Saccharomyces cerevisiae S288C: one gene and its partners. The gene in region 3 interacts genetically with the main gene of each other region. Each region holds a gene or a part of one and is shown on either strand. Other genes may lie near its edges.

The links.
Region 1: mutations in RRT2 (region 3) and YPR159C-A together harm fitness more than expected from each alone (negative genetic interaction), as found in Saccharomyces cerevisiae (one large-scale study listed by BioGRID).
Region 2: mutations in RRT2 (region 3) and PXA2 together harm fitness more than expected from each alone (negative genetic interaction), as found in Saccharomyces cerevisiae (one large-scale study listed by BioGRID).

The regions. Positions count from the first base shown.
Region 1 is NC_001148.4:859,653-861,938, forward strand, and holds YPR159C-A (uncharacterized protein), read right to left. Parts: upstream 764-2,286; coding exon 662-763; downstream 1-661. Other genes in the region: beta-glucan synthesis-associated protein KRE6, read left to right, coding at 1-93; GPH1 (glycogen phosphorylase), read left to right, coding at 1,654-2,286.
Region 2 is NC_001143.9:85,567-90,532, reverse strand, and holds PXA2 (ATP-binding cassette long-chain fatty acid transporter PXA2), read left to right. Parts: upstream 1-1,746; coding exon 1,747-4,308; downstream 4,309-4,966. Other genes in the region: FAT3 (Fat3p), read left to right, coding at 1-1,249; HYM1 (Hym1p), read right to left, coding at 4,630-4,966.
Region 3 is NC_001134.8:709,913-713,365, reverse strand, and holds RRT2 (diphthamide synthase), read right to left. Parts: upstream 1,776-3,453; coding exon 612-1,775; downstream 1-611. Other genes in the region: snoRNA-binding rRNA-processing protein ENP1, read left to right, coding at 1-362; chromatin-remodeling ATPase ISW1, read left to right, coding at 1,827-3,453. UniProt on the Saccharomyces cerevisiae protein: Catalyzes the demethylation of diphthine methyl ester to form diphthine, an intermediate in diphthamide biosynthesis, a post-translational modification of histidine which occurs in translation elongation factor 2 (EFT1 and EFT2).

The DNA of each region.
Region 1 (2,286 bases), on a different chromosome or scaffold from region 3:
AACTTAACTACTTGGGAAGATGCTGGTTACACGTTCCCTAAGAATATCCTAACTGGTAAATGTACTAGCTCGAAGTTCAAGTTATCCTCTTAAGCGGGTATTTTGATGGTAAATCTACAAGCCCTCGGCTTTAATTATTACCATGGTCATAAAAAGTTACTTACAATGCATACATTTTTCTTTTAGGAAGAAATAAAATATAAAAGACTTATCGTTCAAATCGGGTCATAAAGGGAACTAAAGGTATACTAAGGTAAGACGGGGTTCTCATCTGCACGTAATTTTTTATTATTTTTAGTGAGGGAGAACTTTACCTCTAAGATTGTTTATATAGGTATACACATTTTTGTAAAACTGATTATTCGTTTTTTTTTTTGAAACAAGTTATTAGTACAAAAATCAAGCTCTCACTACTTACCAGTAGTTATTTTAGTAGAATATTATTAACTCTACCGAATAAGTACGATATGAGAAATTGCTGATTTACTTGTGTGTGTTCCTATTATTATCCAGGAGCGCCTCTAATCTATGCTTATAATTTTACGTTGAAAAAAAAGGAGTCTGTATAATTATTTCAAATTCATCCTTTTCTCACGGATATTGTGTACCCTATGAGGTAAATAATTGCGCTTTATTTTCTCCCTGTGTTTGCTCGCTCATCTTAAGACGAAAAAAGTAATGGAACACCTACCATCAATAGAAGTACCACACTCATGTAAATAACAAGCGCAAGTGGTTTAGTGGTAAAATCCAACGTTGCCATCGTTGGGCCCCCGGTTCGATTCCGGGCTTGCGCAGATTTTATTTTTTGCTCCCTTCTAAAGCTCTGGATGATTCACCAACTTATCCAAGGCAAGGTCCAACTACCGTTTCCTTCGATGAAAAAGACAATAGGTAGCTCTGTCAAACCCCGTGGAAACGCAAACTCATCGGGAGTGTCCTACTGCTTTCCACTAGTTATCCGACTAGCAAGGCAACTAGTCAAGATGAAACCGTCTCACGAACATTTGTATACGATCTCTTCTCCTGATAGACAATGAAATATACCCCGGTGCTTGTTTCCCACTAAGGAAAAAAGGCCGCTGCCCCACAGCGGGAAGGCCCTTCAAGGGGTAGCGGCATCGCCTAGTAGCACTGTGGGGGGAAGAATACAACGCTCAACGGAAGAGGAAGCTCTGCGAGATGCAGCCAGCACCTTCTATGTTTCAAGGATAACATTTTGAATTAACAAGGAACGCCTTCCCCAATTACCGTTATTGTATTTTTACTTTTTAGAGACTCTCGAGGAAATAAGTAAGGGGTGGATAATTTTCGCTAAAAAAGTTTCAGGGGAGGTTAATAACTACCATGTGCATGCTACAAAGATAAGGAAGGAACACCGACGAATATATTATATGTATAAAAGGAGCATGAAGTTTGTATAGCAGTAAAGCAAGATTCTTTGTGCCTTCCCGTTTCTTGTTGTACCTTTTGTTTTGATTACGTACGAAGTATTATAAGTTTTTTCTGCTTGCTATTGTAATATAAAGTAAGCACAGATTGAGAAGGTAACGATTACTAAAAATATCCAAAAGAAAAACAATTGGATCTTTTTTGACTTCTCTACATTACAATTTCAGTAAAGCAGCTTTCAACTTAATTTAATTTTGAACAATGCCGCCAGCTAGTACTAGTACTACCAATGATATGATAACCGAAGAACCTACTTCTCCACACCAAATCCCAAGGCTTACAAGGAGACTTACGGGGTTTCTTCCCCAAGAAATCAAGTCAATTGACACGATGATTCCTTTAAAGTCAAGAGCGTTATGGAATAAGCATCAAGTCAAAAAATTTAACAAGGCAGAAGATTTTCAAGATAGATTCATTGACCATGTGGAAACTACATTAGCACGTTCCCTATATAATTGTGATGACATGGCTGCTTATGAAGCTGCTTCGATGAGTATTCGTGACAATTTGGTCATTGACTGGAACAAAACTCAGCAGAAATTCACCACAAGAGACCCAAAGAGAGTTTACTATTTGTCTTTGGAGTTTTTGATGGGTAGGGCTTTGGATAATGCCCTGATTAATATGAAGATTGAAGATCCGGAAGACCCTGCTGCCTCAAAGGGAAAACCAAGAGAAATGATTAAAGGGGCTTTGGATGATTTAGGTTTCAAGTTAGAGGATGTCTTGGACCAAGAACCGGACGCAGGTTTAGGTAATGGTGGTCTAGGTCGTCTTGCAGCTTGCTTCGTCGACTCAATGGCAACGGAAGGCATCCCTGCCTGGGGTTATGGT
Region 2 (4,966 bases), on a different chromosome or scaffold from region 3:
CTCGACAATGGTTGTCACTTCGGTCCAATCTCTAGCTGCGGTGACAAATACAACTCAATCTACTCAACAGCTAATTGGATTAGATGATGTGATAAGCTCCTCGAGTAACACCAACGAAACTTTGTCCATCTTGTCCGAATTACAATCGGGCCTATCCGGTAATTCAAGCTCCGTACAGTACATTCCATATCTCTTCAGTCTTTTAGGGGCATCCACTGATCCTAAAACAACATTTTCATCTTTAGTGACGCTGACTTCCTGGGCTCAAGAAAACCCTCAGACCTTCTTGCCCATTTTAGATATATTAGCGGATGCCAAATCCGTCCAACCGATTTCCGCAGAAGAATTGAACGCCATGACGCCGAATATACTAGAGTATCTGAAAATTCCGATTTACTATCGCTTATCCATTTTCACGCTATGCCATGCTAACCTGGAAAACAAGATCCTAGATTGTAACTCCCCACATGCTGTACAAAACTTGGATTTTAGATCGATTATTTATGACGCATTAGTCACATCAGACTTCCAACCATATCTGAACGCCCTGAATATTAGCGCCAACGATCTTTACCTAGAAGGGAAACTTTTACACAGAGAGCACCAATATGTGCCAGCAGTGAGGTCTGTTTTGGCTTTGAACCTCTTAGCGATCATCTTTTCCTTCTTTACCATGATTTTTATTATATTACTGTACTTTAACAGATATATGTTCAAACAACCATTATGGCTCATTGCCCTAGCTCTACACGTTTGCGTTGGTGTAGCCACTGTATTGGCAGCCATTATCATATCCGTTATGATTGCCATTATAAAGAGCGGTACGGCAGATGATAAATATGGTGTTGTGTTTAAAGCCGGTCCCGCCTATACAGGGCTGATATGGACAGCATTTGCGTTGTCTTTTATCGCCACAGGATTGATAATTTATACGTGGTGGAGGAACAGACGGAGTGGTCGTTACATGTCCGGATCTGTGACGAATAGGAAAGGCGAAATTTACACGTATGGGGATGGTTCTGCCATTTCTGCAGACCGTTTCGGCGACCATAACTTGGGTGATGATGATGATGCTGATTTCGAAAAACAGGTGAATCGTAATGAAATAACCGCTATCGACAACAGTAGTTCTGCCAATAATACAGATGTCACAGGTAGTACGAGTAATAGAACAGAGCTAAGTCACCCCGACGTGACACCAAAAGATTCAAATGGACCTGTTAACAATAATGCACATTTGGTAGCATAATTTTTTTCTTTTTCGTAAATGCTCTATCACTTTTTTTCAATTGTACCAAACCATTTACAGCGTTATCTTAATCTCTTATATTGAATTATAGTACATACCACACCATCATCCTTATTTAATAGCTTTATTTAAATTTCAAAACAAAAATTAATAATAATTTGGTAATTATTCATATTTTTGGAATATATGCAATTAATGTTCTTTCGTCTTTGATGTATATTCCTTCGGCGTTAATTACAACTATCACCGTAAAGTTTTTACCACCCTCCGAAAGATTAAGGGCGGCAATGAAATGTGGAGTAAAGTGAATGTTAGATGATGATATTGATGGCTTTGCTCGATCAAAGATAATATTATATTTAAGTATCATCTTGTCCTCAATCCGGTACAAAACAAACGTCTTCAACATTGTTATCTGTATTTTGTTCGTCTTGAATATGGAAAAGACTCAAAAGGGATAATAATACAATTAAAAGTTACCGAAGAAAGATTTTATAATGATCTCAACAGCTTCTGCATTTTATCAGAAGCATAGAGTAAATTTACTGCGTTCTTCATACATAATATTGTTGCTAGCCACGCTTTACAATTCAAATTCCAGTTCTAGTAACAACAAAACTGATAAGAAGGATTCTGAGTCAACGGTTTTAGAAAATAAGAAAATTGAAGAGGGAAAAGAAACCGCAGTAGATAGAGAGGAAGATGAAAGTAGCAAAGAAGAGTTAACGATAGTCTCCAAACATAGCACAGATTCAGAAGATGGTGCAATAATAATTGATAAAGAAAGCAAGACTAATCATAAGGGGGGAGAGCGAAAAGGAAAGGTAGATTTTTTGTTCAAACTTTTGCTTCATGATAAGAAGTGCCTCATTTTATTTATTACACAGGCTATTCTTCTGAACATCAGAACATTGCTGTCTCTTCGTGTGGCTACTTTAGATGGTCAATTAGTGTCCACACTAGTAAGAGCTCAATACGCAAACTTCACAAAGATATTGTTGGGGAAATGGATGATCCTTGGAATTCCCGCCAGTTTTATTAATTCACTGATCAGTTACACGACAAAACTTTGTGCTGTCACTATTAATAGGAAAGTTTCAGACTTTCTACTCTCAAAGTATCTATCTAATCACCATACTTTCTATTCCGTAGCTTCTGCTGAATCTGTTTCAGAAATTCAGGATAATTTGACAAAAGATATTTACACATTTTCAATGAACTCGTCATTATTACTGAATCAGCTATTAAAGCCAATGCTGGATTTGATCCTCTGTTCATTCAAATTATTAACCTCAAACACTAGTGTTATGGGTGAAGGAACTTTGGCACTGGGCTTAATTGTCTACGCCTCCAATTCATTACTAAAATTGATTCAACCGAATTTCACTAGGTTAACTATGGCAAGCGCATCTTTGGAAAGTTGGTTCAGATCTTTACACTCGAATCTACATTCAAGCAATGAAGAAATTGCACTGCTAAGAGGGCAAAAGAGGGAACTAGAAAACGTTGATTATTCATTTTACCGTTTGGTGCTATTTTTAAACAGAGAAATAAAGGCAAGAGCTATTTATGATGTTGCTACTGCATTTGTCATTAAATATACTTGGGGCGCAGCTGGCTTGGTACTATGCTCGATTCCAATATTTTTCAAAAACAAACCTAGTGAAGACACCTTACAGCTTAAGGAACCCGGGAATGATATGACGGCTGATTTCATCACAAATAGAAGATTATTAGTCACTGCATCTAGCTCTATCGGAAGATTTGTGGAACTGAAGAGAAATATACAACAATTACGCGGTATCAGATTGAGATTGAACAAGTTCAATGATTTGTTGGATGCTAATAAAGGTGATGACGAAAAAGAACCAAGAGATGAAAGGTGTATAGTGGAATATGATGATTCAAGGATAAAGTTTGAAAATATTCCTTTAATAACACCTGCCAATCAAGTTCTAGTACCGGAGCTAAGTTTTGATCTGAAGCATGGAAATCATCTACTAATTATTGGGCCCAACGGTTGCGGTAAATCTTCATTATTTCGTATTCTAGGCGGGCTTTGGCCGATAAGGGCGACTCCCAATAAAAATCATCAATCCAAGTTAATAATGCCGCGTAGAACTGTGGATAGAGATTGCGCAATATTTTATTTACCCCAAAGGCCGTATATGGGCAATAGGTCGACATTCAGGGAACAGATTATTTATCCAGACAGTATTGAACAATTCAAAGAAAGATATCACAATGATTATGATCTAGGCGATGCAGATTTAATAAAAATTCTGCAATTATTAGATTTGGAGGATTTAGTCACTGAAAATATGTCACTTCTGCTGGCGCAAAGGACTTCCAAAAATGATTCACAGCAGTTGTCGACGGAAGACAATCAGTCACCATGCGCCATTAAAGTTCGTGATGCATTCAGTATAGTAAGAAATTGGTCCGAAGAATTAACAATTGGTGTCCAACAAAGGTTAGCTATGGCAAGGATGTACTATCATAAACCCAAGTTTGCTGTGCTCGACGAATGTACATCTGCAGTAGCCCCAGAAATGGAACAAAGGATGTACGAAAATGCGCAAAATTTTGGTATCTCGTTAATATCAGTTTGCCACAGGACAAGTTTATGGCATTTTCATAACTATCTGTTAAAATTTGATGGTAAAGGCGGATACCAATTTGGACCGTTTAACCCGAAGGAAAGGTTATGTAATGAAGAAAAACTTCTTGAACTAAATGCCATCTTGGATCAACAGGTGCCACTTTGGGAGCGGAAGTTGAAAGATCTGACAATTGCTAAAGAATCCAACATCATTCGTAAATCAGAAACTAACCTGAATCTTTTTGAAAAGATCGAAGATCCAAAAACGTCCAAATCTAATGCATTGTTTAATGCAAATAAAGGGCAGCGAATCACATCACCTACAGGGCAGGAGACTAGTAAGAGATTACCACTATTTTCCCAACCATCTAGTTCAGCATCATCAAATTTACTAAGAAACAATAAAAGCTTGAACAAAAAAGTTAAAACAAAAAAGGAAGAAGGAAAGGAGAGGTAACATACATAGCCAAAGGAGGATCCAAATCATGTATAAATTGGATAAATAAATTGTTTTATAATAATTTAATATCTTGAGAAAGCGCTCATATTTACGGTTGATTGCTCAATTCCATGTACCGGATCCAACTGTACTGGCTTCCTCAGCCTCCGGTACCAACCTTTTTTTGTATAAATACGTAAAAATACAAAAGTCTGAACTATTTTTCCCTTTTTATGCAAATAAACACTTTCCTATATATAATTTTACTTTTGAATATTCATGTCACGACCCACTGCCTGAGAACTTTCCATTTTTTATAAAGTGAACCAAGTTTTATAGTTATCTTGAATCAGGTGAAGTTGAATGTGTTAAGATGGATGATTGATTGTTCATTACTGATGATGGAGAAGTTATACTGGCGACGTTACTTGAGGATGCATTATTATTAGAAACTTCTGTTGTGGACGAAATTATACGCGGCAAGGAATCAATTTCTTGAACGATGAATTCTCTTTCATCAAGAAAAGTAGAATCCTGAGAATCTAAACCGAAAGTTTTAAAATACGTCAATAGTTTATCTCTGTTTTTAACAAGAATGTCAAAAACAGGTTTTGACTTCCTTGGGTTTGCTACCATCACCTTGAATACGTTGAAAGCTTCAAGTTGTAAGTTTTTA
Region 3 (3,453 bases):
TCTCTCCACCTACAACTGTTTTTATCAAAATATTGCTCGATAAAAAATATGCTTTACCGTACCAGACGGTGGACGACTGCGTGTATTACTTTATGAGGTTTAGAATTTTGGATGACGGTAGTAATGGGGAAGATGCTACAAGAGTACTCCCAGTGATATGGCACAAGGCTTTCTTAACATTTGCACAACGTTACAAGAACGATATTACCCAGGATCAGAGAGATTTCTTGTTGGAAACTGTTCGTCAAAGAGGCCATAAAGATATCGGTCCTGAGATTAGAAGAGAACTATTGGCAGGAGCCAGCAGGGAGTTTGTTGATCCACAGGAAGCTAATGATGATTTAATGATTGATGTCAATTGATGCTGTAATATCAATTTTTCATCAATTTTATATCGCTCGGTCTTTCCCCCTTTCAACAAAGCTTCTGAATCATGTATAATAAGTAGAAAATATAGAGTAAAAGATTATTGTTCAGGCAAGTTCCTTCCTATCAATTCTTTATGCATAATCTATCGAAATCATCAAAATATGGCCTATATATTAGCCTATATATTAGCCTATATATTAGCCTATATATTAGTCCATATATTGCAGACTGAATTTTTTTTTCTAAACTATCCATGTTTGCAAGGAATTATCATAAAATGAGCATGTTGCGATCAAAGAATTTGACCAGTCGCCACCGTAACACATCGAATCATGGCCCTTCTTCAGATAATGTTGAATTTGAAAATACTCATCGGAATTATCATTCATGGTCACCACCTTGGCACCATTGTACATGCAACAAACTAAAAGCCGATCGGAGCCGTTGTGGTGAGATTGTTCCTGATCAATGGGGGATTCAACAAATCTCCAAACACCGCCACCAAGATCACACGCCAATTTATTAACTGTGGGGACATTTGCACCAGGAAATATGGACTCACCCATCATCCTTAAATCCAGAGAACGAATGTTATCATCATAGGATCCAGTTATTATGGACGTGGGTTTATTATTTCGAAAGTTAGGTTGACTACACTTAATGCTAACAACACCAGCATCATGAATACGATTATTACTCCAAATGAATTCTTTGGAACGTAAGTCGTGGGCCATAATTCTCGAATCATCACCTCCTGTAAATACAACGTCTTGAAAAGGCTGTAGAGATCCAAATTCCGCAGTCCAACACTCGAGTTCATGGGGTTTCAAAAATTGTCCCGATTCAACATGAATGACTTTTTCGGTTGCACCTTGAACTTCGTAATCTATTTTATCTAGTTTTGAGTAAGCCTGCGCGATTGCTGATGCCGTGAACTGTACAGATAGTGTTCTTATATCAATGGTAGCTGCTTCGCCTGCCGTATTTGTTACAAGTAATTTCTTACAATCAAGTGGGGAAAAATGGCACGAGGCAATGAGAACATCTTTTTCAAAGAGTTGTAGATTTGCAATTGCATGAATATCTAGTTCGTTTGATTGGAAATCATCCTTATCTGTGCACCGTATCCTCCATAGCATGATATTACCTGTCGAATGGGCCGTGCATATCAATGTATCATCAAAGGGGGATAACTTCAAATCTAGGATTGCGCCATACGTATTATTCGAACATAAAAGTTTGAGGTCCATTGTGAAGACATCCAGTGAGCCTGACCTGTATCCAGTTGACTTATCTAAATCATACGTCCCAACAAGGATGATCTTATTCCTGAATATTCTCAAACAACACGGCGGTAGTTTTGTTTTCACTGCATTTAGTACATCTGATTCTTGAATAGAGTCCATATGTATAGCTATGCAAAAACCAGCTAGAGGTGGATGTAGAAATACCCTATTATGGCCTATATGTTAGCTATTGCAAATTTTCACTTTTTCAAGTTCTATACTAGAATGAGAAAAAAACACGAAAACAATTCTTGCAATGAAAAGGACAAAGATGAGAACCTATTCAAAATTATTCTCGCCATATTTTTGCAAGAAAAAAAAAAATACGATTGTATTTCATCTGGTTCAATTATGACTGCTTCAGAAGAGTACTTGGAGAATTTAAAACCGTTCCAGGTCGGTCTCCCTCCACATGATCCTGAATCGAATAAAAAACGTTACCTGCTGAAGGATGCTAATGGTAAAAAGTTTGATCTGGAAGGCACTACAAAAAGATTTGAACATCTGCTATCCTTGAGTGGTTTATTCAAGCATTTTATTGAAAGTAAAGCCGCTAAAGATCCCAAATTCAGGCAGGTCTTAGATGTATTAGAAGAAAATAAAGCAAATGGCAAAGGCAAAGGCAAACACCAAGATGTTCGTAGACGAAAGACTGAACACGAAGAAGATGCGGAATTATTGAAAGAAGAAGACTCGGATGATGATGAGAGCATTGAATTCCAATTCAGAGAATCACCTGCTTACGTTAATGGTCAATTGAGACCTTATCAAATCCAAGGTGTCAACTGGTTGGTGTCTCTGCATAAGAACAAAATAGCGGGTATCCTTGCTGATGAAATGGGTTTAGGTAAGACCCTGCAAACTATTTCATTTCTGGGATATCTTAGGTACATTGAAAAAATTCCAGGTCCATTTTTAGTCATTGCGCCTAAGTCTACCTTAAATAATTGGCTGAGAGAAATAAATAGATGGACGCCAGACGTAAACGCCTTTATTTTGCAAGGAGATAAAGAAGAAAGAGCTGAACTGATCCAAAAAAAACTTTTAGGTTGTGACTTTGATGTTGTGATTGCTTCTTATGAAATTATTATAAGAGAAAAGTCGCCCCTTAAGAAGATTAACTGGGAGTATATTATCATTGATGAGGCTCACAGAATCAAGAATGAAGAGTCAATGCTTTCGCAAGTCTTAAGGGAATTTACCTCACGTAATAGGCTGTTGATTACTGGTACTCCTTTGCAAAACAATTTGCATGAACTATGGGCGTTATTAAATTTTTTGTTACCAGATATCTTTTCCGATGCACAAGATTTCGACGATTGGTTTTCTTCTGAAAGCACAGAGGAAGATCAGGATAAAATTGTCAAGCAACTCCACACTGTTTTACAGCCTTTTCTACTACGTCGTATCAAAAGCGATGTGGAAACATCCTTACTGCCTAAAAAGGAACTGAATTTATATGTCGGTATGTCTAGCATGCAGAAGAAATGGTACAAAAAGATTTTGGAAAAGGATCTGGACGCTGTGAACGGGTCTAATGGCAGCAAGGAATCCAAAACAAGACTTTTAAATATCATGATGCAACTTAGAAAATGTTGTAATCATCCATATTTATTCGATGGTGCTGAGCCAGGTCCACCGTACACTACGGATGAGCACTTGGTTTATAACGCTGCCAAACTTCAAGTTTTGGATAAGTTATTGAAGAAATTGAAGGAAGAAGGTTCTAGAGTTCTGATTTTCAGTCAAATGTCAAGATTATTGGATATTCTCGAGGATTATTGCTACTTCAGAAACT